Linked DNA regions of Anolis sagrei. The protein of the gene in region 4 interacts with the protein of the main gene of each other region in a pairwise test. Links are inferred from orthologs where the notes say so. Each region holds a gene or a part of one and is shown on either strand. Other genes may lie near its edges. The genes, in order: histidine--tRNA ligase, cytoplasmic; TRIM2; PAFAH1B1; TNIK.

Region 1 (7,335 bases), on a different chromosome or scaffold from region 4:
CTACACCATTGCAACAAGAGCAACTGATCTCGCGAAACCCTCTTATAGTGCCAAGGCTTATTAAATATGGTTTTCTGTAGACAATCAGATGGCAACTACTGGATGGCATATGTTCTGTATCAGAAACTAAAGCTGATGTGGTCTGTCCAATGAGATTTTCTAAATCAGCACCCCAAATAACCAAACTTGAATCTAAAGTTGACCAAAAACTGATTCATAACCCTTTTGGTACTAATGTTGGGAAGTGGTCCCTGGTCAAAAAAAGGTCAACAGCGAAAACTTCCATGCCATTCTCTGTAAATCCCAGGGTCTGGCCTATGCTATATCGTGATTATCAATGAATAAATTAATGGTAACTCAATGACTTGAACAATTTCAGCAATTAGTATTTATTGAATTTCAGTTTCTAGTTTTATTCAATTTAAAGCAATATTCTAAGCTTTAGGAACCACTAGTATATTTTTCTCATAACTAAAAACAAGGTATTGAGAGATTTAAAGGGATAAAGAAACAGTTTACCATTACAGGGAACTGCAGCGTTGAAATAATATTTTTAAAAGGAGTATAAGATTTACTTGAAGTTATTGGTAGCTGTTGGTGGATTTCCATTGTCCCCTGCAGTGTGGGGTAACAGCATGTAATGAGGTATTGTGACATATTGCATATATTTTGGAAAGTAATGATACAATCTGGATCTGAGTGATAATTTTAATCAATGTCAAAGTTTTGAACACTATGTACATTCATCTGTGCAATGTTGAGGCTTGGCTAAATGAAAGAAATAGAAAAGCAATGGCAACTTCAGGTAAAGCATGAAGAAGCCTAGTAAGTTTAGAGGTGGTCTATTCATGGATATGACCAGATCATGGTCAATCAGACATCTGCATGGACATAATTTTCAGACTGCATAAGTTGTCAAATCTTTATGTTGATAAATTTCACAATGAACTTAATTTAGTTTTCTCTTTTAAGCATGACAGCTGTGTAAGCACTTTAGCTTCCCTTCATACATTTCCATAGCTATCAAGGAGAATTTTGAAGGCCAATCTATTTGTGTCTACTTCTGACATAGCATTTTCTGTCTGGTACAGTACATCTCAATGGAGATTTTTTTTAATGCTTTGTCATTTTGGCAGTCCACAGTGTGTGCAAAACACTCCTCCAGCATCATATTTCAAATTAAATTTCTATCTTACTGACAGCTTTCTTCACTGTCCCAGTTTTTGATAACTATTATGGAAAAATAGGACTCTCAAATCCACAACCCGGAAGAGTCTGACCAGATGGCCACAGGGGGTCCTGACAGATGACGACCTTTCCCCATATACACAAGCACACAGAAACATGGGGGCTAATTTCATTACTCCTCCCGGAGTAATGAAAAGCCATAGCATATCTTTGTTATTACACTATGTAACATGGTTTTTGTTCCAGTTGGTTCTATCAGAAAAACATGAAAAAGGTTTATTCAACTACAAAAGCTTTGTTTTTGCAGGACATCCTGCAGCACACTTTGCTATAGTTTTTCAATGAATATCTCAGAGTCTCAACCAATTCAACATAGTTTTGGCAGCCACAAAAACAAAGTTTCAGAAGCATAACAACTACTTTTAAAACAAGTACTGCACAATTAAACAAAAAAAAACCAGTACTTTCAAACCAGGAACAGAAAAAAAAATCAAATTTTGTTACATAGTGTTATCTGCTTGCAACATGCTGCTTCTAGTATGCAAGCCATTTGCAGCTGATATTTCTTCCTCCAATTTTCACTATTTCTTCCACTGATTCTAAACTGGTTTTAAGAGGTTCACGGTATAATATTGCCCCTTGCCTATTGGAAACCATTCTGTTTCTACAATATTCTATCTTAACAATAACCTCTTGTCCTGAATACAGGTTGTGCATCATGATCGTCAAATGTTGTTGCCCACCCATTTATTTAACAGCAGGTCCATATTTTTTCATAATCTATATTGGTGTTTCTCAAACTGTGCTCCTCCAGGTATTATGGACTTCAGCTCCCAGAAATCCCTGCCAGCATACCAGGTGTTAGGAATTGTGGGAGGTGAAGTCCATAACATCTGGAAGAGCACGGTTTGAGAAACCGTGCAATCAATGGGTTTGCTATTCCTCTGAAAGGCTCTGGTGCGCTCCATTATCCAAAGTATGTTTTTCCAAACCTAGATTCAACTTCCAACAATCTATATATGGTGAATGTTGAGAAATGCGTGGTAAAATTTTGAGCATCCCTTTACTTATATGCAAAAACAAGATGATGCATATCAATCCAAGACAATTTTTAAGGAGGTTTCCTAATTTCATACCACTTGTCTGCAGTGAAATTCTAAATTTTGGACGGCGGGTTCTCTTTTAAGAGAGAAAAAGCAGGTTATAATGATGATGATTATGATGATGATGATTATGGCTTCAGAAGTTTTTTAAGTGAGCCCCAGGGCCCTTCTACGCAGCCCTTTATCCCAGAATATCAAGGCAAAAAATCCCACATTATTTGACTGTGGACTCAGATAACCCATATTGTGGGATTTTCTGCCTTGATATTCTGGGATATAGGGCTGTGTGGAAGGGCCCTTAGGCCCCATCTACACAGCCATATAAAATCCAGTTTATCTGCTTTGAATTGGATTATATGACAGTGCAGAGTCAGATAATCCACTTCAAAACAGATAATCTGGATTAATTTTGAAAAACCTGATTCTATAGTAGTATAGACCCAGCCCCTGACCCCTTCAACACTGCCATATAAAATCCAGATTATCTGCTTTCGACTGTATTATATGGCAGTGTAAACTCAAATAATCCATTTCGAAGCAAATTATGTGGATTATTGGGTTTGATAATCTGAATTATAGGAGCCCCCGGTGGCACAATGGGTTAAACCCCTGTGCCGGCAGGACTGAAGACCAGGTCGCAGGTTCGAATCTGGGGAGATGAGCTCCCTCTATCAGCTCCAACTCCTCATGAGAGAAGCCTTCCGCAAGGAGGATAAAACATCAAAACATCCGGGCGTCCCCTGGGCAACGTCCTTGCAGACGGCCAATTCTCTCACACCAGAAGCAATTTGCAGTTTTTCAGGTTGCACCTGACACGACAAAAAAAAATCTGAATTTTATGGCAGTGTAGAAGGGGCCTGAGTGCCCCTTGAGGAGCATGTCTACACAGTAGAATTAATGCAGCTCCACACCACTTCAACTGCTATATATTAATACTGTGGGATCCTGGAGATTCCATTTTTTCAAGGTCTTCAGCCTTCCTCTGACTAGGACCCCTTCCACACAGTTGTATAAAATCCACATTGGACTGGATTATATGGCAGTGTGGACTCAGTTAATGCAGTTCAAAGCAGATAATGTGGATTATCTGCCTTTGATATTCTGAGTCATATGGCTGTGTGGAAGGGACCTAAGGCCCCTTGAGTCTAGACTGGCATAGAATCCTTGTGATCTGCTTTGAACTGGCTTATATGAGTCTACACTGCCATAGAATAGTTTTTAATCGTGTGGTCTTATTGTTAATGTTGCATTATTGTATTGTCCATGTTTTATTTTTAATTGCTTGTATTGTTGTTATTACTGTTTGTATTGTTGTATTCGGGCTCGGCCTCATGTAAGCCGCACCAAGTCCCTTGGGGAGATGGTAGCGGGGTACAAATAAAGTGTTGTTGTTGTTGTTATTATTATTATTATTATTATTAGAATTCTCATTATCTGCTTTGAACTGAATTACAGTTCAAAGCAGATAATGAGTCTACACTGCCATAGAATCCTCATCTGTTCTGAACTGGATTATATGAGCCTACACTGCCATAGAATCCTCATTATCTGCTTTGAATTGGATTATATGAGCCTACACTGCCATAGAATCCTCATTATCTGCTTTGAACTTGATTATGAGTCTACACAGCCATATAATCCAGTTCAACGAGGCGGCCAAAGACTGCTGGTGCCTCAACAAACTACATCCCATAGCATAGAGCAATGACAGTCAAAAGTGGTGCCCAACTGCATTAATTTCACAGTGTAGAATAGATGCACCCTCAAATCTTTCCAGCTGTTTCTGTGATTCTATGAACTGGCTTGACTTTCAGGCGTATCCGGGACTGTATTATTCAAACTAATGGAAAAGGAAGGTCGATAGAGAGAATGCAGGCAGGGATCACAGGGTGACTACAGAACTGACGTCACTTCCCTTCTTTGACTCCTTTGCCATCCCAAAGCCTTGTTGCATCACCCGATACAGACGAGAGCGGGTGGCTTCTTTGTAAAGCAATGCGCATGCGTGGGGCGGGGATAGGGATGCTGCCTGCGCATGCGCACTGCAGTAGAGGCTGGCCCTGAGCAGAGTCGCCGCTTCTTTGCGTCTTGGTGGCCGGGCGGCGCGGAGGCCATGGCGGAGGGGGAGTCGGCGCTGAAGGCACAGGCGGAGCTGGTTCGGCGCCTCAAGCAGGAAAAAGCCAGCCAGGAGGAGGTGAGGGGACCAGGCAGTACTCTAGGTCACAACCTGTGCCCCTGGGTGTCTCTACACTGTAGTATCAATGCTGCTTGATACCACTTTGGCCGCCATGGCTCAATGCTATGGAATCGTGGCAGCTGTAGTTTGGTGAGGCATCAGCACTCTTAGGCAAAGAAGGCTTAAAAGACTTTGTGTGACTACAACTCCCAGGATTCCATAGCATTGAGCCATGGCAGTCAACGTGGTATCAAACTGCATTAATCATACAGTGTAGATGGCCTCTCTGATGGCAGGCCCTTGCACATTGCTCTGCTTTTTCCACCACTTATGCATCATTGAACTATCTCCTTTAAAAAAAATCTATGTGTCTGTATAGCCACACTTGTGTTGTCTATTTAGTCTCCATATGGAAAGAAAAAGCAGGATATAAACAAACATAATATTATTATTTATGTGGTCAGTATGTATACTATGGGAAAAAGTAAAGAGAGTCGCTGTGAGTTTTCTGGGCTGTATGGCCATGTTCCAGAAGCATCCTCTCCTGACGTTTCGCTCACATCTATGGCAGGCATCCTCAGAGGGTGTGAGCCAAGCTTTGAAACTGCAATGCTAATCAAGGTGACCAATTGCAACATTTACACTTTCTCCCACCCTGGTTATTCCACAGATATATCAACCCCACTTGCCTAGTTTCCAACAGACCTCACAACCTCAGGATGCCTGCCGTAGGTGTGGGCAAAACATCAGGAGGGAATGCTTCTGGAACATGGCTATACAGCCCAGAAAACTCACAGCAACTCCCTTTACTTTTTCCCATAGTATATATCAGTGTTTCTCAACCTGGGGGTCGGGACCCCTGGGTGGGTCACGAGAGGGTGTCAGAGGGGTCGCCAAAGACCATCACAAAACACAATATATTCCGTTGGTCATGGGGGTTCTGTGTGGGAAGTCTGACCCAACTCTATCGTTGGTGGGGTTCAGAATGCTCTTTGAGTGTAGGTGAACTATAAATCCCAGCAACTACAACTCCCAAATGTCAACAGTAGCAAAATTACAGTTGTGAAGTAGCAATGAAAATAATTTTATGGTTGGGGGTCACCACAACATAAGGAACTATATCAAGGGGTCGTGGCATTAGGAAGGTTGAGAACCCCTGGTATATATAGTGATCACATTATTATTATTATTATTATTATTATTATTATTTTACTGACACAAAACACAGTATGTCATAGCAAACAAGATCTCTATGCTGGATTTCGTATCACAAAATCACAAGTCAAACACTTCCCAAGCGTTTAAGACTGTGATGTATTTTTGAATGATACGTGATTATTGTTATTATTATTATTTGAAACACAACAAGATGAGTCCACAGCAGATGCTATGCTGGCTGTTATATTGGCTCACACGTCGGACACTTCCCAAGTGTCTAGGACTGTGTGATGTATCAGCGAATAATGCATGCAGATCCCAGTAAGGTGGCCTTTTGCAGCTGGCAGAGGGTAATTTTGTCAGTGCCGATTGTGTTTAAGTGCAGGCCAAGATCTTTAGGCAGTGCTGATCACCACTGGGACCACCTTGACTGGTTTTTGCCAGAGTCTCTGCAGTTTGATCTTTAAATCCTTGTATCGTGTCAGCTTTCCCAGTTGTTTCTCTTCAATCCTGCTGTCGCCTGGGACTGCAAATACTTATTATTATTATGACTATTATTATTATTATTATTATTGGGTTGTAGGTTTTTTCAGGCTATATGGCCATGTTCTAGAGGCATTATTTCACCTGCATCTATGGCAATCATCCCCAGAAGTTGTGAGGTCTGTTGCCATAGATGCAGGCGAAATGTCAGGAGAGAATGCCTCTAGAACATTGCCATATAGCCCGAAAAAACCTACAACAACCCAGTGATTCCGGCCATGAAAGCCTTCGACAATACATTGTTGTTATTATTATTATTATTATTATTATTTGTTTTTATCCTACTTTTTCTTTCCATAGAAAGACTTGTCGACCGCTGCATGTTATACGGTAGACTCCTGCAGAAGTGAGAGGGTCTCTCTTGTCCTTTGCTGAACTTAGCATTTGTTCAGGAAGGATCCCCTCACCGCTGCAGGAGTTTACTATATACCATGCAGTTGTCGACAAGTCTACATAGGGACCACCAAACGCAGCATTGCCCAAACACAAATCAAGGAACATGAAAGGCACCGCAGACTAATTCAACCAGAGAAGTCAGCCATAGCAGAACATCTGATCAACCACCTGGACACAGCATATTATTTGAGAACACAAATGCTGGACCACTCTTAACAACCAAAGAGACTACACGGAGAAACCATTGAAATCCACAAGCATGTGGACAATCTCAACAGAAAGGAGGAAACAAACCATGAACCAAACCAAAATCTGACTACCAGTATTAAAAAACTCTGAAATCAGGAGAGTAAACAAAGAACAACATTAAAAGGGGGGGGGGGCGTAATTCCAGACAAGAATCAATCAAGTCCAACTAACACCTCCCAACAAATGATTCCCCCAAGCAGGAAACAGCCAGGCTTTGAAGCTGCCAGGCTATTCACTGCTAATCAAGATGGCCAGTTGCAACATTCACACTTGCCTCCAACAGACCTCACGACCTCTGAGGATGCCTGCCATAGATGTGAGCGAAAAGATAATGCTTCTGGAACATGGCCACACAGCCCAGAAAACTCACAGCAACCCAGTGATTCCGGTCATGAAAGCCTTTGACAACACAGTGGTGTAACCTATATATTGGTTAAATTCTTCTCTTTCAGATTGCAGAACAGGTTGCAAAGCTCTTGCAAATGAAGGCAACCATATGCCCAGAGGATGGGAAGCATAAGT
Region 2 (8,016 bases), on a different chromosome or scaffold from region 4:
CCAGCCAGTTAATCTGGGGAAAGTCTGGGTCAGAAATGGACTGGCCCCAGAGGTAGCAATGTGCAACATCCCAAACCTGTGTTTATGGTGGGTTGGAATGTAGATGGTCTAGTTAAGTGGTTCTCAACCTGTGGGTCCCCAGGTGTTTTGGCCAACAACTCCCAGAAATCCCAGCCAGTTTACCAGCTGTTAGGATTTCTGGGAGTTGAAGGCCAAAACGTCTGGGGACCCACAGGTTGAGAACCACTGTTCTAGTTGGTCCAAGATTGCATTGGTCTCTCTGGACTGCCATCTTAATGGCTATGTCGATATCACTGCTCCCAGACAGCTGCAGAGCTCCATTAGAGTTCTTGTTATCCTGGGCACCCTGTGCAGTTATTTGCAGTTTTGCTTGTACAACCAGAAAGAAGGACAGAGCTAATCTTCTCATCTTCTTTCACTTTATGTTGGCACCTCTGCTGATACTAGTCCAAGGTACCCACGATGGTGCCAACATGGGGATGATCCATTTCCTTTCCCATGGGCCAATGAGCACAGGGAAAAGGGCATGCCCATGTGCACTGTGACTTGTCCAAAACAGGACCTGAGTCTGTTGTCCACATTGTCTCAAAGTCATGGAGTTGCTTCAGGCAAACTCATGGATATCCCCAAAACTTTTAAACACAGGATGCTGGATTAACCCAGTTCCTCTGCACAGTCTACTAGAAGTACAGGATTGTTATGGGTACAAGCCAAGATTGGAATTATGGTGAATACAGATTATATTGCCTGTATTGATGAGCCCTGGGCAAAAGCAAATGGCTGCAACTCATCCTAGAATCATAGAATCATAGAATCAAAGAGTTGGAAGAGACCTCATGGGCCATCCAGTCCAACCCCCTGCCAAGAAGCAGGAATATTGCATTCAAATCACCCCTGACAGATGGCCATCCAGCCTCTGCTTAAAAGCTTCCAAAGAAGGAGCCTCCACCACACTCCGGGGCAGAGAGTTCCACTGCTGAACGGCTCTCACAGTCAGGAAGTTCTTCCTAATGTTCAGATGGAATCTCCTCTCTTGTAGTTTGAAGCCATTGTTCCGTGTCTTAGTCTCCAAGGAAGCAGAAAACAAGCTTGCTCCCTCCTCCCTGTGGCTTCCTCTCACATATTTATACATGGCTATCATATCTCCTCTCAGCCTTCTCTTCTTCAGGCTAAACATGCTCAGTTCCCTAAGCCGCTCCTCATAGGGTTTGTTCTCCAGACCCTTGATCATTTTAGTCGCCCTCCTCTGGACACATTCCAGCTTGTCAATATCTCTCTTGAATTGTGGTGCCCAGAATTGGACACAATATTCCAGATGTGGTCTAACCAAAGCAGAATAGAGGGGTAGCATTACTTCCTTAGATCTAGACACTATGCTCCTATTGATGCAGGCCAAAATCCCATTGGCTTTTTTTGCCGCCACATCACATTGTTGGCTCATGTTTAACTTGTTATCCACGAGGACTCCAAGATCTTTTTCACACGTACTGCTCTCGAGCCAGGCGTCACCCATTCTGTATCTTTGCATTTCATTTTTTCTGCCAAAGTGGAGTATCTTGCATTTGTCACTGTTGAACTTCATTTTGTTAGTTTGGGCCCATCTCTCTAATCTGTCAAGATCGTTTTGAATTCTGCTCCTGTCCTCTGGACTATTAGCTATCCCTCCCAATTTGGTGTCGTCTGCAAACTTGATGATCATGCCTTCTAGCCCTTCATCTAAGTCGTTAATAAAGATGTTGAACAGGACCGGGCCCAGGACGGAACCCTGCGGCACTCCACTTGTCACTTCTTTCCAAGATGAGGAGGAAGCATTAGTGAGCACTCTCTGTGTTCGTCCACTTAACCAATTACAGATCCACCTCACCGTAGTTTTGCCTTACAGATCCACCTCACCGTAGTTTTGCCTAGCCTGTCTTTTCTTCCTAATTAATTTTTTTTATTTTGATCACTCTGCTATTGCTAGGCTGCATGCACCCCAGATTTCATCTATGAAATATTGGAGAGTATAAATTTGTCTCTTGTGGCAGCCTCTAGGAATGTGAGTTTGCCCCTTTTAAACATTTATTTCACTCTTTACCATTTTTAAAACAAGAACTGGACCTCCATCCTTTCCAGTTTTCCTTTGCCTGCTTGCTTGCATGCATTATTATATTTTTGGAAGCCTTGTGACTTCTAGAGATTCCTAGGATCAGAAGGTTGGCCTCAAATCTTGCTAAATTCACTCATTTCTGCCCTATATTGTGTCCCTGCTTTCAGTTTTACTGCACCATGCCAGCTACTACTTTTGTGTGTGTGTGTCAGGAGCAAATTGAGAAACTCCAAGTTGCTTCTGGTGTGAGAGAATTGGCCGTCTGCAAGGACGTTGCCCAGGGGACACCTGGATGTTTTGATGTTTTACCATCCTTGCAGGAGGCTTCTCTCATGTTCCCGCATGAGAAGTGGAGATGACAGAGGGAGCTCATCCACTCTCTCTCTCTCTGGATTCGAACCTCCAACCTGCTGGTCTTCAGTCCTGCCGGCACAAGGGTTTAACCCATTGCACCGCCATTGGCTCTGCCAGCTACTACTGATCCTAAGACATTATGATTATTAGAAACAACTCACACTTCTAACCATTCTGATCAATAATCATGTTTTGGTTAATTGGAACCTGTATGAGTTCTAGTAAAGAATGTGTTTTACTATTGTCATTTAAAGCATTCATCCTGGAACCCAGAGACCCAGTTTACAATACAACAAAGCTTTTCAAAGATTAAGCCCACAGAAAGCCTACTGCCTTATTTAGAACATCCATGACATCAGCAATAGCAGATTGTTGGCTTGCTGTCAACAGAGGTAAAACATCAAAGCACTCCATTTTTATAGTGATGGTGCATGCACGTTCATTTGAAAAACCTTTGCTAGGAAGGCAGTTGTGTATCTTATCTGCTGAACTTGTGCCAGTCTCCAAACTAATATTTATATGCTTTCACTAACTAGTTTGAAAATAATGATCAAATCAGCAACATATAAAGTCACTTTTAGAAATAAAGACTGTTAAAGTTTTGGGAACAAAAGTGTTAGTTTACTCAGTCAATACTCATCTCCAGGCACATTCCTATCATTCTTTAAAGGTTTAACAACACCCGTAACCATATTTTTACAATGTGCAATGAAGACAAGTACACATGCAATTTCATTTTGATTTTCAGTATCTGAATTTGTCCAGGAAGATATGAGGAAGTGAACACGTTTGTTCAAATTATAGGGAGACAATGGCTATTGCAGAGGGCCCTCTTTCTTCAAAAATCTAAAGAGGTAACATGGGAAAGGAGATCTAAAAGGAACCATTGGGCCCATTTCCCAAGCTCAATGAATTCAATTGAGCAAGTTTCTATTCCTGTGCTTTGCTTTAGAGGTGTAAGAAACAAGTCTAAGGGCAGTTCCAGACATCACCAAATCACACACTTCAGTCAGGGGCAAAAAAACACTGGGACCTGAAAAGATGTCCAGATACAGACGTGTTGGTCCTGGGATTTCTGCTTCTGCCATCCACACTTGCTGCTTTGTCCCGGGATTTTGCAGCCCCCAAAATAGCCACTGCAGGACGTCCGCCTGAAATTTTAGCTTTTTTTAAAAAAAACACACATGCAGACATTCAAAGATGTGGATTTTGGGCTCAGATTCAGGATGTTCTCACACCTGAAAATCTTGTGGTTTTGCCGTTTGTGGCTATTGCTTCCATCTTTACAGGGAATGGCGTTTGGCCACCCTCCAGTTTGTTGTAAGAGCTCCCAGGATAAAGGTAATGATTGGATGGGCCCTAAGAAACAGAGATTAATGAACATTAAAAATGCATATCAAAATGGGGGAGATAGACCATATTTTAAAAGTAAATATGCTGTTTTGCAGTTCCCCAATGCACAGATCAGAATACACATATTCATTAGTATGTCCACTTCTACAGACATTTTGTGCAATTCACAATCCTCAAAATTGTGTCCAGTTGTGCATGTTGCATACAAAAAAGATACAAATACCTATGTTTTAACCATGTTTATCTTAAAAATAAATAGCAGACTGACGCAGAGGGTGGAATGGGAATCTAGAAACTTTTGTACAATAAATGTGAAATACAGAGGACTTGAAGTAACTGTTGGACCTTGAAAGAGCTGGGGTAGTGATGGCCAGCAGGGAGCTCTGGTGTGAGCTGGTCAATGAGGTCATGAAGAGTTGGAAGCAACTGAATGAATAAACAACAATACTGAGGACTAACCTATTCCTCATATAGCAGCATACCTGTCCGAACATATCTCCCTCTATGAACCATCTCGGAGGTTAAGATCTTCCGGGGAGGCCCTGCTCTCAAACCCACCTTCCTCGCAGGTGTGACCGGTGGGGACAAGACAGGGCCTGGCTCAGTGTTGGTCCCTTAGTTATGCAGCTCTCTCCCAAGTGAAATTAGATCAGCTCCCTCCCTCCTGATTTCAGAAAGAAAGTGAAGACATAGATGCAGGACCAAGCCTTTGGACAGTAATCTTCAATGCAATAAGTGATTATGGGATAGTGCAATTTATGACTGGAATGGCTCCTGGAACATACCTTTGGATTGTGTAGTTTTAATTAATTGGTTTTAAGATTGTGATGTTTTAATTATTTGGTTTTAATGTATATGTTTTCTTTTATCCTATGAACGTATATGTGGCATCAAATTGTGCCTTTTTGTGAGATGCCCTGAGCCCCCTCCGGGGTGAGATGGACGGGATATAAATAAAGTAAATAAATTAATAATAATAAAGTGTGAGTTATATCTCCTGATCAGAAAAAAAGTTGGCAGCTATTCGCCCCTCGTACATTCTTGTAGAAGAAATTGTTACTATCTCTTCAACCTCCCAAATTAGCACTGCTTCTCATTTCTTCTTCTAAGGATTACACCTAAATCCTATCAATGAGCAAGATCCCTTGGCCTTACATGACCTCAACACCTTTGTGTCCTGCTGCTTGCTGAAAGGCGGTGCTTGAGGAAGAGTACAGAGTGCCTTCACCCACAGCCTGGCTTTTCCTGATGGCTTTGAATTCTTTGCTTTTGTTTATAGGGAACAAATTTGTTTAAGAAATCTTCAGATGTAAATCAAAGCTGAACAGACGGTGGTGAGACGAGACTTTGTCACTATGTATAATCCATCAAGTTTGTGCTGCATGGCTTCCAGCAGTATGGAGATACTGCTGAGCTGAAATGTAGAAGAACACAGCCCTAAAGAAAATGAGAACAAGGTAGGATATATTCAATCTGAAATATAGCCAAAATGGGATGTCATTGGTAAAAACTGGAGATGTAAGTGGATATTTTTCTATAAATATGTACTTGATGGAATATTATGGTAAGATGTTAACAGAATTACATTTCAGTAGAGGAGAAATAATCCAATCAATTGTCTCCTCGGGGAGGAAGGTGGGGTATAAATAAAGTAAATAAATAAATAAATAAATAATATTATATCTAAATTATTCACCTATCTAGGGTTTGTTGTTGGCTTTGGTGGCAGTAGTAATATGGCAGAAACAAGTGCAGTGATATTTCAGTGCTGAGTCATTCTGTGTGTAAAAACATCAAGTCAGCTCATGCTATGTGTAAACTTGTTGTTAAGTTCAAACAATCAGTATCGTCCACTTTTTTCTGCATGATGTCATAGGAGGACATCTGAAACATCTTCCTCTTGGAAACACAGTAAACACATGTTTTCTATATCTAGTTCTTATTTAATCCAGGGCATTTAAGGACCTCATCACACAGTCATATGCACTGTTTCTGATGCCTTTTGCATACTAGTGCTTACGGCTCCTGTCACATGACACACGGTCCCTTTCATAGGAAACACGTAGGCACCTGCAGGCAACAGCATATTTTGTCAGATAGAAAACAATTCACTCCTCTCATTTTTATATTTCTCCATCCATGTCAGAGGTGAGGTTTTTTACATGTTATGAGGGGAGTGAAGTTTTATGAGGGGTATACCTATCTGCAGGTTGTCTTAACACAGTGGTTCTCAACCAGTGAGTCCCCAGATGTTTAGGCCTTCAACTCCCAGAAATCCTAACAGCTGGTAAACTGGCTGGGATTTCTGGAAGTTGTAGGCCAAAACACCTGGGGACCCATAGGTTGAGAAACACTGCCTTAACAGATCCATTGAAAGAAGTGGATTACCAGATCATGGGTTTCCCACTGAAAATCAGTGGTTTACCAAAGTTTTGGGTTTTCCATTGAAATAAGTGGTTTCACAGATCTTTGGTTTCACATTGAAAGAACTGGTATAAAAACCACCCACGTTCTGTTTCGCTACATTTGCTGTGTTTAACTTTTGCTGTTTTTTTTTTATTTTAAAAAATGGAACTGCACATCTCTGCAGGTCCAAAGAGATGTTTTTTACATTTGGATGGAGGTCACAAACATACATGGTTGCACAAGATCTACCGAAAAGAAATAAAGGGAAAGGCAGTGACATCTGGAAACATCCCACGGATTGGGAGGAGCCATCTTTCTGCCATGTGATAAGTCAAAGGCACATTATTTAATTAGATACAGAACAGAGAGAACCAAATGTGATGGGGTGGGTATGTATCCAGTGTGTATAAAGTCCTCATCAAGCCTTCTTGAAGGTCGGCTTGTGTACTTAAAAGGCATTTTCTTGTGTGCGCATGTGAGTGTGATAAGGTCCTAAGCCAAATATCCTTTCATTTGGCACTGCATACATGACCGAGGCCTATATCTCAGATTCAGAATTATTTGAAATGCCTAAATGTAATTGATTTACTTTGATGCCTGGACATTGCATGTAAGCACAAAGTTTTGTTCATGCTATTTAATCAGCATGTTCAATGTAAAGGGAATTTTTTATTGTGTCAGAAGCGACTTGAGAAACTCTCCCAAATTAACCAAGTTGCTTCTGGTGTGAGATAATTGACCATCTGCAGAGACGTTGCGCAGGGGACGCCCAGATGTTACAGTCCTGTGGGAGGCTTCTCTCATGTCCCCGCATGGGAAACTGGAGCTGACAGAAGGAAGCTCACCCTATCACGTGGACTCAAACCACCAACCTTCAGGTCAGCAGTTTAGCCAGCACAAGGGTTTAACCCATTGTGCCACCTTGGCTCATACTTAAAGGGAAATAAGGTAAAGATATAGGGATACAAGAAATGAATGTCACCACAGATCTCAACAAAATATTGTAATGGACATTACTCTCTCTGTCTCTCTCTCTGTGTGCAACTGATGTGCTGTTTCAATGTGTTAATCCCATTTTCTGCTTTTATTATGTTTTTAAATTATATTTAAATTGTTTTTACCTTTAATGATTATGAACAATATTAATTATTTAATTTCTTCTTAACTTTTGCAATTAATGTTTTAATTATGGTGAACTGCCTTAGATCTCATTTTGAGAGAAAGGCTGGATACAAATCAAATAAAAATTACACTTTTGCTTTTTCTGTGTGTTGTTTGGTAAACATTTTGTTGGTTCAACATGCTTTTTAAATCTATTGTTAGAGTCTTAAAGGATGGTTTGGGGATTTCAAATCCTCTTAGGACACTGACAGAGATAACAGGATCTATCCTAAAAGACCTTGAAAACATAAAGCTCTTTAGGTTAAACGTAACTCAAAATTTATAGTTTTGAGTTTGGTAAAGCACAGATCTTAAGAGAAACTAATATTGTCAGTCTGATCACAACAAATATGAAACACAATACAATATTATTTTTGTTGAGCCCAGGGATGTGAGGAAATTTAAGGTCATGATAGCTTTTGGATTTCTTGGGTATAGTGTGAAACAGAAAGAATCCCAATACATTTGATCAGGCTTTTCTCTCTTATTTCTAAAGCCGAGAAAATTGGCAATGCAACTTACCATATTGTTTTAATATATAGGGATGTGACTTTGGCCTTGTAGGAATTGAACTTGTTCATTTGGAACTCCTATCAGCCACAGACAGCATAACCCCCATGATGAGGGACGAT
Region 3 (7,615 bases), on a different chromosome or scaffold from region 4:
CAACAACTGATTTGTAACCATCTTAGTACTAATGTTGGGAGTGGTCCCTGGCCAAAGTTGTCCCTGGCCAAGTAGTTCTTGATCAAGTGGTCCCTGGTCAAATGGCACCTGGTCAAAGTGGTCCCTGGTCAAAGTGGTCTCTGTTCAAGTGGTTCCTGGTCAAAGTGGTCTCTGTTCAAGTGGTTCCTGGTCAAAGTGGTCCCTGGTCAAATGGTGCCTGGTCAAAGTGGACCTTGATTAAATAGTCCCTGGTCAAAGGGTACCTTGTCAAAGTATCCCCTGGTCAAAGTGGTCTCTGGTCAAAGTGGTCCCTGGTCAAGTGGTCCTTGATCAAGTGGTCCCTGGTCAAATGGTACCTAGTCAAAGTGGTCTCTGATCAAGAGGCCGCTGGTCAAAGTGGTCCCTGGTCAAGTGCTCCCTGGTCAAAGTGGTCTCTGGTCAAGTGGCCCCTGGTCACGTGGTCCTTGATCAAGTGGTCCCTGATCAAATGGTACCTAGTCAAAGTGGTCTCTGGTCAAGAGGCCGCTGGTCAAAGTGGTCTCTGGTCAAAGTAGTATCTGGTCAAGTGGTCCTTGATCAAGTGGTCTCTGGCCAAATGGTACCTAGTCAAAGTGGTCCCTGGACAAGAGGCTCCTGGTCAAAGTGGTCCCTGGTCAAGTGGTCTCTGGTCAAGTGGCCCCTGGTCAAGTGGTCCTTGATCAAGTGGTCCCTGGTCAAGTGGTTCTTGATTAAATGGTCCCTGGTCAAAGTGGTCTCTGGTCAAGTGGCCCCTGGTCAAGTGGTCCTTGATCAAGTGGTCCCTGGTCAAGTGGTTCTTGATTAAATGGTCCCTGGTCAAAGTGGCCTCTGGTCAAGTGGCCCCTGGTAAAAAAAAAAGGTTGGGAATCACTGGTATAGGAGAACATGAACTAAAATCCTATTGACTTTTTTCATTGCCACATCACATTGCTGTCTCATATTCACCATGTAGCCTACATGCACTCACAGTCACGGACTATTCACAAATATGGGGTGAGGATAGAACTTTTCAGATGAGAGGACTCCCGGTTTTGCTGTTCACATCTTTTACTGCCTGCTATCTCAGTTGCAACTCCCTTTTCGTTCTTTTAATGGAGGGATTTAATGGAGGACCGGACACCAAAATGTTTGCTCAATGCCTTCTCAACCTTTCTTCTTTCCGCCTTGTTTTGACACAGGTTGCATTTATCCTCAGAGACTTCCCGATTGAAACACAGGATCAAGGAATGACGAGGCAAATCGGGTCTTGCTTTGGAAAGCGACAGACAATAAAACATAAGCGTGTCCCGCTTCCCAAAAGCCTAGCTGAATGTTGTGAAGTATTATTTTCATTGAAACACCCGCACAAAGGAGCACAAACCTTGCTAAACACACATATCTGCCTGCCACACTTAAATTATTTTTTTCGAAAAATAAATGCCATTCAGCCCTTCGCACCTCATTTGATCTTTCCTGTCTTCACACCAAGTGAGAGTTATAATACAGGCTTTAGTCATTCATTACTTTTTGACTCCTCTTCCCGACTGATAAGACGCGAAAAAACAAACAATGCTCGCAGGGATGGCTTTGTGCATCATTATTTTGTGGAGTTATTTTCCCTTCAAGTTGGCAGGGAGGCCAAATCGGTTTCCTAAGGACCATTACTGCAATATCCTCTATAGCAGCCATGGGTAAACTTCGGCCCATCAGGTATTTTGGAGGCATTTAATGGCCTTGTCGCTTCAAAGCCTGGCTGATCCCACACCTTGTGTGACTGTGGAGCAGAACAGACAACTCCACATCTGTATGCTTGTCCACTGTGCCCTGCCTCATGTACAGAGGAGGAATTGTTGGAGACCACAGACAATGCCATTGCTGTTGCCCATTTTTGGTCGGAAGATACTTAGCTGCCTGCGCTCTATTTTTATCAGTTTTTATCAGACCTCACAACCTCTGAGGATGCTTGCCATAGATGCAGGCGAAATGTCAGGAGAGAATGCCTCTAGAACATGGCCATATAGCTTGAAAAAACCGACAACAAGCCAGTGATTCCAGCCATGAAAGTCTTTGACAATACATTTATCAGTTTTATACTAATTTATGCAATGCTTTAGATACAAAATAAATAAATAACCCTGGTGGTGACCCCCAACCATGAAATTATTTTTGTTGCTACTTTATAACTGTCATTTAGCTACTGTTATGAATCTTCATGTACATATATGATATGCAGGATGTGTTTTCATTCATTGGACCCCATATGCCTTAATTTGAATCCTGGTGGGGTTTGGGGGGGTATTGATTTAGTCATTTGGGAGTTGTAGTTGCTGGGATTTATAGTTCACCAACACCAAAAAGGAAGAGAAGGACAGGCGGAGAGATCTTCAGCCTCCTCTGCCACAGGGGTATTATACCGCTATACTGCAGTATTATTAGTAATATTACATGTAATAATTATTATTGTATTATTACATTGTATCACACTATTATCAATATTAAATGTACATACATTATATTATTAGCATGGCACAATATTAGTATTATATATTACTATATTGTACTATACTACTATACTGCAATATTATTAGTAATATTACATGTAATAATTATTGTATTATTATATTGCATTACAGTATTATCATTATTATCATTGAGACATGCCGCATTATCACGGGGTGCCTGCGCTCTACGCCACTGGAGAAATTACACTGCTTAGCCGGTATTGCACCACCTAACATCCGCCAGGAAGTAGCAGCCAATAGTGAAAGGACCAAGGCAGAGACATCTCCAGCTCATCCCCTGTTTGGGTATCAGCCAGCACGTCAACGACTTAAATCAAGACATAGTTTTCTAAGATCTACAGAGACACTCGCTGGAACACCTCAACAAGCGAGAGTCCAAAAGTGGCAGGCTCAAACCCAGAACCTCAACCAATGGCTGATACCAAATGAGAGACTCCCCCCTGGGCACACAGAGGACTGGGCGACTTGGAAGGCGCTGAACAGACTGCGCTCTGGCACCACGAGATGCAGAGCCAACCTTCGGAAATGGGGCTACAAAGTGGAATCCTTGGCATGCGAGTGCAGAGAGGAGCAAACCACTGACCACCTGCTGCAATGCAACCTGAGCCCTGCCACATGCACCATGCAAAGGACATTTAATCAACTACCAAACTCACAAATTTTGTATTTTGTCTGGTTTTTTTGCTTTGTTCTGTTAGAAATGTAATACAATCGACTGGTTGCACTGACACGATAAATAAATAAATAAATAAATTTATATATAGATAGAAGATATATATATACATACAATATATTATTAGCATTGTCGAAGGCTTTCATGGCTGGAATCACTGGCTTGTTGTAGGTTTTTTCGGGCTGTATGGCCATGTTCTAGAGGCATTCTCTCCTGATGTTATCTGTGGAATGATGTTTCGTCATTCCACAGATATATAAACCCTTTTTCCTACTTCCAACAGACCTCACTATCTCTGAGGATGCTTGATGTAGGCGAAACGACAGGAGAGAATGCCTCTAGAACATGGCCATACAGCCCGAAATAACCTACAACAACCCTATTATTAGCATAGCACAATATTAGTTTTTTTTCGTGTTGTGCAGTGGGTTAAAGCATTGAGCTGCTGAGCTTGTTGATCGAAAGGTCGCAGGTTCGATTCCGGGGAGCGGCGTGAGCTTCCGCTTTCAGCCCTAGCTTCTGCCAACCTAGCAGTTCGAAAACATGCAAATGTGAGTAGATCAATAGGTACTGCTCCGGCAGGAAGGTAACGGCGCTCCGTGCAGTCATGCTGGTCACATGACCTTGGAGGTGTCTACGGACAACGCCGGTTCTTCGGCTTAAAAATGGAGATGAGCTCCAGCAGACAAGAGTTCTTTGTCCCACCCTGGTCATTCCACAGATATATAAACCCTTTTTCCTAGTTCCAACAGACTTCACTACGTCTGAGGATGCTTGCCATAGATGCAGGCAAAACGTCAGGAGAGAATGCCTCTAGAATATGGCCATACAGCCCGAAATAACCTATACAACACTATTATTAGCATAGCACAATATTAGTTATTTTAGTGTTGCTCTTTATTTACTGTCCTGATTTTGGAGGTATTTTTGTAATACTGGTTGCCAAATTTTGTCCATTTTTAAGGTTTCCTCCCCAGGGAGCAATCAGCCAGGCTTTGAAGCTACAAGGCCATTAAATGCTAATCAAATTGTCCATATACTTGTGGTTTTCAGTGGCTTCTCTGTGTAGCCTGCCCTGGTGGTTGTGAGAGTGGTCCAGCATTTCTGTGCTCTCCAATAATAATAATAATAATAATAATAATAATAATAATAATAATAATAGGCTGTGCCCAGGCTGGTTCCTCAAGTGCTGTTCTGAGTCTCTGCCCGCGCGAGGCATGCCGGGAGCCTTTCCCCCCTCTGCCAAGATGGCGCCCACTCCCTCCCTCCCTCCCGCGTTCCCTCCCTCCCTCCTTCCGCGCAGGCGCACTCCTCGAAGCGGGCCGCAAGCCGGGGCGAAAGCCACGCCCCCGACAAGATGGCGCCGGCTGCCTCCGCCGCGCAAGCGTAGTCTGCCCGCGCTAGGCCACGCCCACTTCCTCCCCCTCCTTTCCCTCCTCCTCCTCCTCCTCCGGCGGGCTTCCTCCATCTTCTTTCTCCTCACAAGCCGGCAAAAGGGGAGGGGGCCCCGAGGCCTGTCTCTGGCGTGGCCCAGCCGCCGCCCCCCTTCCTTCCTCACAAGGCACCCGGCTCCCTCTGTGAATGGGAGCGGCCTCGGCGGCGGAACGAGAAGGAAAACACCCCGTTTCGGGTAGGTCAGTCAAGCCGGCTTCCACAGGGAGACAGGGACGGGAAATCGAGCCAGGCTTCGTCTCCCTGTTAGGCCTCACAGGGGAGAGGAGGCAACAAGGCCCCGCCGCCTCTCTCCTTCCCTCCCTCTCTCCCTCCCTTCCCCTCCTCCTCCTCCTTTCCAGCTCGCTCTCAAAATGGCCGCCGCGCCCGTTGATATGGAGAGTCAGGCAAGCAGGGAGGGGAGAGGCAGGGAGGGAAAGGGGACACTTGCTCTTCACTTCCTCCCCTTTCTCACCCCCAGCGTCGCCATCATGGCGCCCCCCCCACCCTCCCACAACACCCCCTCCCTCCCCTGCCTTTGTATTTCCATCCTCGAGGCTCCCATCTCCCCCACCCCGAATCTTTATTTTCATTGTTTCCACAGAAGAGAGACAGAAGGATCTCTGTGTGAGAGGGAGAGGGTGGATCTCTATATCTCTTAGCTATCTCTATCTATCCATTATCTATCTCTATTTTGATCCAAATGCGAAAATTATATGGAGAGGATGGATAGTCTATATCTATTATCTATCTCTGTTTGTATCTATCCATTATCTATCTCTATTTTGATCCTAAAGCAAAGATTATATGGAGAGGATGGATAGTCTCTACCTACTATCTATCTCTATTCGTATCTATCCATTATCTATCTCTATTTTGATCCAAAGACATGGGTTATATGGAGACGTGGATAGTCTATATCTCTTTTGATCCAAAGACAAGAGTTATATGGAGAAGATGGAGCTCTAGATCTATTATCTATCTCTATTTTGATCCAAAGGCAAGGTTATATGGAGAACATGGATAGTTTATATCTCTCTTTATTGATCCAAAGGCAAAGATTATATGGAGAGGATGGATAGTCTATATCTATTTGTTTGTATCTATCCATTATCTCTATTTTGATCCAAAGGCGAGGGTTATATGGAGAATATGGATAGTCTATATCTCTTTTTTTTGATCCAAAGGCAAAGATTATATGGAGAGGATGGATAGTCTATCTATTATCTTTCTCTATTTGTATCTATCCATTATCTATCTCTATTTTGATCCAAAGGGGAGGGTTATATAGAGAACATGGATAATCTATATCTATTATCTATCTCTATTTGTATCTATCCATTATCTATCTTTTTTTTATCCAAGGGCGAGGGTTATATGAAGAGGTGGATAGTCTATATCTATTATCTATCTCTATTTGTATCTATCCATTATCTGTCTCTGTTCTGATCCAAAGGCGAGGGTTATATTGAGAACATGGATAGTCTATATCTCTCTTTTTTGATCTAAAGGCAAGGGTTATATGGAGAAGTGATAGTCTATATCTATGATCTGTCTTTATTTGTATATATCCATTATCTATCTCTGCTTTGATCCAAAGGCGAGGATAGATACAAATAAAGATAGATCATAGATATAGACTATCACTTCTCCATATAACCCTTGCCTTTGGATCAAAAAAGAGAGATATAGACTATCCATGTTCTCCATATGACCCTCGCCTTTGGATCAAAATAGAGATAGATAATGGATAGATACAAACAGAGATAAGGAATATATGGAGGGGATGGATAGTCTATATCTATCTCTCTCTTGGTCCAAAGACAAGGGTTTATATGGAGAGGATGGATAGTCTATACCAATTACCTATCTCTATTTGTATCTATCCATTATCTATCTATCTCTGTTTTGATCCAAGGGTGAGGGTTATATGGAGAGGATGGATAGTCTATATCACTCTCTTTTGATCCAAAGGCAAGGATTATATGGAGAGGTTGAATAGTCTATATCTACTATCTATCTCTATTTGTGTCTATCCATTATCTATCTCTTTTTTGATCCAAAAGCGAGGCTTATATGGAGATAATGGTTAGTCTATATCTCTTTTTTGATCCAAAGGCAAGGGTTATATGGAGAGGTGGATAGTCTATATCTATTATCTATCTCTGTTTTGATCCAAAGGAGAGAGTTATATGGAGAGGATGGTTAATCCACATCTATCTCTGTAGATTTCTGTTTTCTAAAAGTGAGGTTAATGAGAGAGGAAAGTCTATACCTGTTTCTGTTTATAGCTGTTACCTATTTTTATATAAAAAAAGTGAGATGGAGAGGTGGATAGTCTCTGCCTCATCTATATATGTTTTGTCTGTCTCTATATGTCTCTTTTTATCTCTTACCGATTTTTTTAAGGTGAGGTTTCTGAGATGAAGAGAATAGATCGTTTGTATCTATCTCTATACTCCTTTAGTTCTATATCAGTGGTTCTCAACCTTTTTTTGGCCATGGACCACTATCTGACATTAGTACCAAAAAGGTTACAAATCAGTTTTTGATCAACTTTAGATTCGGTTTGGTTATTTAGTAATAAAATAATACAACTTTATTTGTATACCGCCCTATCTCCCCAAATGGGACTCAGGGCGGTTTCCAATATATAAGGCAAAACATTCAATTGCCAAGAAGAAAATCATACAGACAGATTAAAATAAAATTATTCAGAAAATAGCATTGGATAGACCCCCACCAGCTCTAGTTTCTGATACAGAAAATATGCCATCCAGTAGTCACCATCTCCTCACCCACAGAAAATCATATTTAATAAGCCTCGGCATTATAAGAGGGTTTTGCAAGACCAGTCACACTCATTGCAACAGTGTAGTAAGGGTGAGGCCACGGACCATATTTTAGTGCTTGTGGACCACTAGTGGTCCATGGATCACAGGTTGGGGACAGGTGCTCTACACCTATTTCTATCTAGCTAGTTCTGTATTTT
Region 4 (7,105 bases):
TAGAATAAGCAGAACAATAGAGGACAACACATTTATGGCCCCAATTTATTTACAGGAGGCATCATGAAGACATCTAATATTCCTACAATGCCCTGCTCACACATGTCATTTTTATATCAGTATTAGACACAAAGTATCTACTCAGGCTGATCTGCCTGTGTCAAGACTGATTCAGTTCATTCCCCCAGCCCATAATGTGATGTATGTAGCATGTCACATGGCTAAAACAGCCAGGAGGTACATCCTCTTCCTTCAAGAGGAATGGAAGAGCTCATTAAAAAGGTGCATTCGATCCTATTTCATCAAAATGGACACTACCACTGTCTTTAGCTTTCACACACTGTGAGAATAGCAACCTAGCTAGCTTGCATCAGAGCAGATGGTTGCAAAATGCATGCACACGGAGCAACAACAGCGACGCATGACCATTAAGACATATCCCCATGACATGTCTTAATAGCGGCACATCAGGGTGTGCAATGGGCATTTCCATGCCGCCTTTCTTTCCACATATGCCAGAGAGGATTGTTTATATTATCATCAAACGAGCCTGAGACTGGGAAAAGAGTCAAGAGAGCAGTGGGGTTGGTTCATCTACCTTACTGCTTCTATTTTTGATGCCTGGACACATTGTATGTGTTCCTTTCCCAAATACTGTAGCAGCAATGTAGATTTTGAAGGAGAAGGGGAGGGAAAAAGATTAGATTTGGAAGAGACACATTAAGCAACCTTCAAAATGGGCAAGAGGTGACCAAGACCATCTCCAAAACACCTTTCATTTAAATGTACCTTCCATCTCTCTCCTTTCAAATTATATATGAGAGAACAAATGCACCATTAAGGGGTAACAATAAGGAGCTAAGACCCCATCACACTAGAGAATGAATCCACTTTAAATCTGGTTGCTTCTTCCTGCAGAATTCTGGGATTTGTAGTTTAAGGAGGAGACTTTCACAGCCTCACTGAACTACAAATCCCAAAATTCTGCAGGAAGCAGCAGAATGGGTGAGAGGTGACCATGACGATCTCCAATACACCCTGCATTTAAATGTGCCTTCCATCTCTCCCCTTTCATATTATATATGTGTGAGGAAATGCACTATTAAGGAGTAACAACAAGGAGCAATCTAGACCTCACCACACGAGAGAATGAATTCACTTTAAATTCAGTTGCTACCTTCTGCAGGATTCTGGGGTTTGTAGTTTAAGGAGGAGCCTTTGACAGCCTCACTAAACTACAAACCCCAGAATTCTGCAGGAGGCAGCAGAATGGGCGAGAGGTGACCAAGACCATCTCAAAACACCTTGCATTTAAATGCACCTTCCATCTCTCTCCTTTCATATCTTATATGAGGGAGGAAATGCACCATTAAGGGGTAACAACAAAGAGCGACATTCATGCTGTAATGTGATGAGTTCTTCGAGACCTCATCACACTAGAGAATGAATCCACTTAAAATCCGGTTTCTGCCTCTTGCAGAATTCTGGGGTTTGTAGTTTAAGGAGGAGACTTTAACAGCCTCACTAAACTGCAAACCCCAGAATTCTGCAGGAAGCAGCAGAATAGGCGAGAGGTGACCAAAACCATATCCAAAACACCTTTAATTTAAATGTGCCTTCAATCCCTCTCCTTTCATATCATATATGAGGGAAGACATGAAACATTAAGGGATAACAACAAGGAGTGACATTCAATCTCTAGTGTGATGAAGTCTTAGAGACCTCATCACACTAGAGAATGGATCCACTTAAAATCTGGTTTCTGCCTCCTGCAGAATTCTGGGGTTTGTAGTTTAAGGAGGAGACTTTAACAGCCTCGCTATACTACAAACCCCAGAATTCTGCAGGAGGCAGCAACCGGATTTAAAGAGGATTCATTCTCTAGTGTGATGAGAGATAGATGCTGTTTCCCAGCTGTGCTTGGTTGATCCCTCTTCTTGCCCTTTCCCCATACTATTGATTATCACCAGCGGGTTCTAGACAGCTCTCCACCTCCATTCAGAACAGGAACACCCACACATCTTCCAGGAGGGAAGGCTTTCTGTCAATAACAAAAACAACCCTGCTGTTATCAAGAGGAGCAGTTTGTGCCCATCTGGGAAGTTCTGGGATGGCAAGGGAGGAAAGGGAAAGGCTGGATGGATGGGAGGAAAGGGGACATCTGTTGTGGGGGGAGGGGGCAGCGAGGCTGGGTGGGCTCCTCTGCCACACACTCACACACACACACACACACCCTCCCAAGCCCCCCCCCCCCCTGCTTCTTACCCTCAAGGCGGAGAGATCGATCTCGTCCAAGCTCCGCGCTGGAGAATCACTCGCCATGTTGAGTGGGGGGCTCCTCCACCGAGGAAAAACGGCCCCAGGGAAGAAACCCACGGCGCTGGCTTCGGGCTCCGGCCTCTCCTGCTGCCCCACAAGCTCAGCAAGCCCTCCGTCTTCGGCTGGGTGGGAAGAGAGGGTCCCTGTATGGAGACCTCCAGCCTCTCCCTCTCATGCGCCCTGCTTGCGCTTCTACTGCTGCTGCTGCTGCCAATGGAGAGGAGCGGCACCCTTTCCCTCTCCTCCTTCCTCCTCTCCTCCTTCTTCCTTCTTCCTTCCTTCCTTCCTTCCTTCAACGCTCACGTCCTCCGACCAGCGTCCCCCAGGAAAGGGCAGCGAAAGCGAGAGGAGAAGCAGGAGCTCCGGCGCCTTGGACGAGAGGCGAAGGCGAGTGCGCCCGGGCACTTTTACGCGCCGCTCTCGGGGAAAGAAGAGGCGTGCAAAGGCGGAGAAGGGAAGGTGCCTCTGCTCGGGAGGGTCTGCTTTTCAGGAGGGCATGGCTGGCTTCTCCTGGCCCGGGTGGGGAGGCTGCCTCGGTTTCCCCGCTCCTCTCCCTCCCGGTGAAGATAACGAGGCGATTCCCGGTGCGGTCCCGGCGCACCTCGCCTCCTCCACTCGCTCGGATGGAGAGGCAGAGAAAGCTGTCACCGAGGAGGAAGAGGAGGAGGAGGAAGAGGAGGCTTCCTGGGAGGGAGAGAGGGAGGGGAGGGGGACCAGGGAGGGGCGGCGCCTCCTCCGCTTCTCTGGGGAGGGGGAGGGGAGGGGGAAAAGAGAGCCAAGCAATAGCGTTGTGTGGCGGTGGGCTTGGCCACTACAACACAAACACACCCAGGCATTACAGCTTGTGTCCAAAAGCACACTCTATCCACTCAGTAGGATAATGATTATTATCTCAAGGCCAGAACCTTCCTAACCCCTTAATACAGTTCCTCACGTTGTGGTGACCCCCAACCATAACATTATTTTTGTTGCTACTTCATAACTGTAATTTTGCTGCTGTTATGAAGGGTTCTGCCAACCTAGCAGTTCGAAAACATGCAAATGTGAGTAGATCAATAGGAACTGCACCAGTAGGAAGGTAATGGTGCTCCAAGCAGTCATGCCGGCTACATGACCTTAGAGGTGCCTACAGACAACGCCGGCTCTTTGGTTTAGAAATGGAGATGACCACAAACCCACATACTTAGGCTCGATCTGCACTGTAGAATTATTGCAGGGCAACACTACTGTAATTGCCAGGTCTCGATGCTATGGAATCCTGGGAGTTGTAGTTTTGGGAAGCATCAGCACTTCCCAAAACTACAACTCCTATCAGTTATGAATCATCATGTAAATATCTGATATGCAAAATGTGTTTTCATTCACAAGTACCCAATGCGCCCAAATTTGAATCCTGGTGGGCTTGGGGAGGATTGATTTTCTCATTTGGGAGTTGTAGTTGCTGGGATTTATGGTTCACCTACAATCAAAGAGCATTCTGAACTCCAACAACGATGAAATTGAACCCAGTTTGGCACACAGAATTCCCATGACCAACAGAAAATGCCGGAAAGGTTTGGTGGATATTGATCTTGAGTTTGGGAATTGTAGTTTACCTACATCCAGACAGCACTGTGGACTCAAGCAATGCTGGATCTGGACCAAACTTGGCTTGAATACTTGATGAGAAACGCTGCATTACAGCTTGTGTCCAAAAGCATACTCAATCCACTCATTATGATGGTGATTATGTCAAGGCCAAGTACAAATACATTTAGAAGGAAGAACAAGTGTCACAACAAGGATTTGTAATAATAACAATGTCTGCTTTGATTGTGTGTTTCTGGAAGGTCTTTTCTAACCCTTCAGATGTTTTGGACTTCAACTCCAGAATTCCAGCTGTCAGGAATTGCAGGAGTTGAAGTCCAAAACACCTGGAGAGCCGCAGTTTGCCCATGCCTGATTTAGGACTAATACCTTTCACACCACCTTAACTGTTCTCAGTGCTATGGAATCCTGGCAGTTTCGAGCCTTTTCTGTATCGAGCCTTTTCTGTCTCGGGGCCCCTTCTACAAGATCATCCACATTATATGATTTGAACTGGATTATATGAGTCCACAGGAGTCCCTAGTGGCGCAGTGGGTTAAACCACTGAGCTAATGAACTTGCTGACCAAAAGGGTGGAAGTTCGAATCTGGGGAGTGAGGTGAGCGCCTGCTGTTAGCCCCAACTTCTGCCAACCTAGCAGTTCAAAAACATGCAAATGTGAGTAGATTAATAAGTACTGCTTCAGCAGGAAGGTAGCAACGCTTCATGCAGTCATGCTGACCACATGATCTTGGAGGCATCTATGGACAACACCGGCTCTTCGGCCTAGAAAATGAGATGAGCACCACCCCCAAATGGGAAACATTTTCATTCTATGCGTCCACACTGCCATATAATCCAGTTCAAAGCAGATAATCTGGATTTTATATGGCCGTGTAAAAGGGGCCTAAGAGTGATGGCCTTTTGCATGGACCCCTGGCAGTTAAAGTGGGGCCAAACCTCTTTATGTCTACAGTGAAGAATGCCCTCTCAGACTGAAGGAGCATTGTCATAATAAGGATTTATAGCAATAAGGGTAATAATATCTGGCCTGCTTTGATTGGGTGTTCTTTAATGGCAACTGCATTGTCCTTGAGGGTCTCTTTCAACTCTATGATTTCGTCAGAATTACAAAACCCACACTTAGGATCCATCTGCACTGTAGAATTAAGGCAGGGCAACACGCAGGCATGTAGCCGGGGGGGGGGGGGGGGGCTTCAGCCCCCCCCCCCGAAATTCTCATGGTGGTTCGCGAAAAGGCCTTACTGGTGCATTAATTAAACTGTTATGTTTATTCATATCATGATCTGATCACCATACTCAATATATCCCATATGCATGGGGGTATTGGGGTAATGATACAAAAGGTTTGCTAGGCTAGACCCTCTTTCACTCAGACTCAGCCCCCCCCCCGAAACTCACCCCCCCCAAAACCCCCCCTGAAAATTTTTTAGCCCCCCCCCCCCCCGAAACGAAATCCTGGCTACGGGCCTGGCAACACTACTGTAACTGCTAGGTTTCAATGCTATGAAATCCTGGGAGTTGTAGTTTGGGGAAGCATCAGCACTCTTTGGCATAACTGGGTAAAGATTTGGTAAAACTACGACTTCCATGATTCCATAGTTTTGAGCCATGGAAGTTAAAGTGATGACAAACTGTATTAACTCTACAGTTTGGAGGCACCTTTAGATGATACTTTATTGGGGTTGTCCACTGGAGATCAATGGGGCTTGGATATGAAGATGCAGAATTATGCAGTTTGATACCCCTTTAATTGCCATGGCTCAATGTTATGAAACCATGGGATTTGTAGTTTGATGAGGTACTAACACTCCCAGACAGAGAAGGTTAAAGACCTTATAAAACTATAACTCATGTTATTCAACAGCACTGAGTCTTGGCAGTAAAAGGGATGTCAAACTGCATTAACTCTACAATGTAGATCAGGCATGAGCAAACTTGGGCCCTCCAGGTGTTTTGGACTTCAATTCCCACAATTCCTAACAGCTTTGGGCCCTTAAGTGGTTGAGGGGGGAAAGAAAAGGGCCTGAGGCTGTTAGGAATTGTGGGAGTTGAAGTCCAAAACACTTGGAGGGCCCAAGTTTGCACATGCCTAGTGTAGATGCACCCTGAGTTAATACAAATGCATTAGCTACAGTTGTAACCCTTACTCCTGAGCAATTTCCATTGCATTTAATAAGGCCTCCTTTGGAGTAAAAGCATTGGAATGGGCTGTAGATTGCACCAGATATTTTCCCTTAAAGGAGAGAGCTGGTGCTGAATGCCTTAAGAAAGGGAGGGAAATAAAACCTCTCAATTCAAAATCAAAATCAGAAAGAGGGAAACTGTGCTCAGTTTCATTAATCCCAGCCCTGCAGTTTCTTTTGAATTTATCCAATAGCGAGCTCTGCAAACTGACCTTTCCCTGTTTGAATCATAAATTCGGATTTAATGCCAACAGTATGAATTCAAATCAGGCCCCTTAAAAGCAGCCGTTGTCAAACGCGTGACCAAAATTCCTCCCTTCGGTCTAACTGCAGATGGAGAAAGAAAAGGGCTTTCTGTTTCACCCAATGACACGTGAGATTAAAAACAACTGCATTCCTCCTGCTAGCAGGAGCAGTAAAATATAAAATAATCGAGGCACCTGATTTTTTTCTGTCTTTGATGAAATGTATTCAAAGTTTGTTTCTGAAAAAAAAAAGATTGGCAGGGGTTTCCTTGAAAACACCACTCCAAGGAGCTCGGGGCCTTTCTAGTAAACTCTGGGGTGTGTAGGCTGATGTTGAAGGCCATGCATGTCCAGAAGCACTCTTGCTTCATCAAGTTTTCACTTTTCCAGAGGGTTAATTCCTGAGTCACAATTTGTCCTGCAAGCATGGATATTGTTCCAGCACTTTTAAAAACAGTTAAAGGGCCAGTGTCATGTACTGGTTCAAGTGTTTGATTAGGATTTTGGAGACTTGGGTTCGAATCCCCACTTCATCTTGGAAACCTTGGGAAAGTCATATCCAGAGCGTGGCAAAGGTAAATGTCCTTTGAAAAAAGTGCCCAGAAAACTTTGTGATAGGCTCCCTTAAAGGTAAAGGTAAAGGTTTCCTTTTAACATTAAGTCTAGTCATGTCCGACTCTGGAGGGTGGTGCTCATCTCCATTTCTAAGCTGAAGAGCCAGTGTTGTCCATAGATGCCTCCAAGGTCATGTGGCTGGCATGACTGCAT

What was found.
Region 1: the proteins of TNIK (region 4) and histidine--tRNA ligase, cytoplasmic interact in a two-hybrid assay, tested with the Homo sapiens proteins (2 studies listed by BioGRID and IntAct). The link is inferred for Anolis sagrei from reciprocal best matches to the Homo sapiens genes TNIK and HARS1.
Region 2: the proteins of TNIK (region 4) and TRIM2 interact in a two-hybrid assay, tested with the Homo sapiens proteins (2 studies listed by BioGRID and IntAct). The link is inferred for Anolis sagrei from reciprocal best matches to the Homo sapiens genes TNIK and TRIM2.
Region 3: the proteins of TNIK (region 4) and PAFAH1B1 interact in a two-hybrid assay, tested with the Homo sapiens proteins (2 studies listed by BioGRID and IntAct). The link is inferred for Anolis sagrei from reciprocal best matches to the Homo sapiens genes TNIK and PAFAH1B1.

Annotation. Positions count from the first base shown.
Region 1 is NC_090024.1:136,427,542-136,434,876, forward strand, and holds the start of histidine--tRNA ligase, cytoplasmic, read left to right. Parts: upstream 1-4,330; 5' UTR 4,331-4,404; coding exon 4,405-4,485; intron 4,486-7,265; coding exon 7,266-7,335. UniProt on the Homo sapiens protein: Catalyzes the ATP-dependent ligation of histidine to the 3'-end of its cognate tRNA, via the formation of an aminoacyl-adenylate intermediate (His-AMP). Plays a role in axon guidance.
Region 2 is NC_090025.1:51,265,598-51,273,613, forward strand, and holds the start of TRIM2 (tripartite motif-containing protein 2), read left to right. Parts: upstream 1-5,005; 5' UTR 5,006-5,274; intron 5,275-8,016. UniProt on the Homo sapiens protein: UBE2D1-dependent E3 ubiquitin-protein ligase that mediates the ubiquitination of NEFL and of phosphorylated BCL2L11. Plays a neuroprotective function. May play a role in neuronal rapid ischemic tolerance.
Region 3 is NC_090031.1:25,959,087-25,966,701, reverse strand, and holds the start of PAFAH1B1 (platelet-activating factor acetylhydrolase IB subunit beta), read left to right. Parts: upstream 1-4,613; 5' UTR 4,614-4,822; intron 4,823-4,973; exon of another isoform or gene 4,974-5,030; intron 5,031-7,615. UniProt on the Homo sapiens protein: Regulatory subunit (beta subunit) of the cytosolic type I platelet-activating factor (PAF) acetylhydrolase (PAF-AH (I)), an enzyme that catalyzes the hydrolyze of the acetyl group at the sn-2 position of PAF and its analogs and participates in PAF inactivation.
Region 4 is NC_090023.1:252,620,775-252,627,879, forward strand, and holds the start of TNIK (TRAF2 and NCK-interacting protein kinase), read right to left. Parts: upstream 3,010-7,105; 5' UTR 2,323-3,009; coding exon 2,266-2,322; intron 1-2,265. UniProt on the Homo sapiens protein: Serine/threonine kinase that acts as an essential activator of the Wnt signaling pathway. Recruited to promoters of Wnt target genes and required to activate their expression. May act by phosphorylating TCF4/TCF7L2.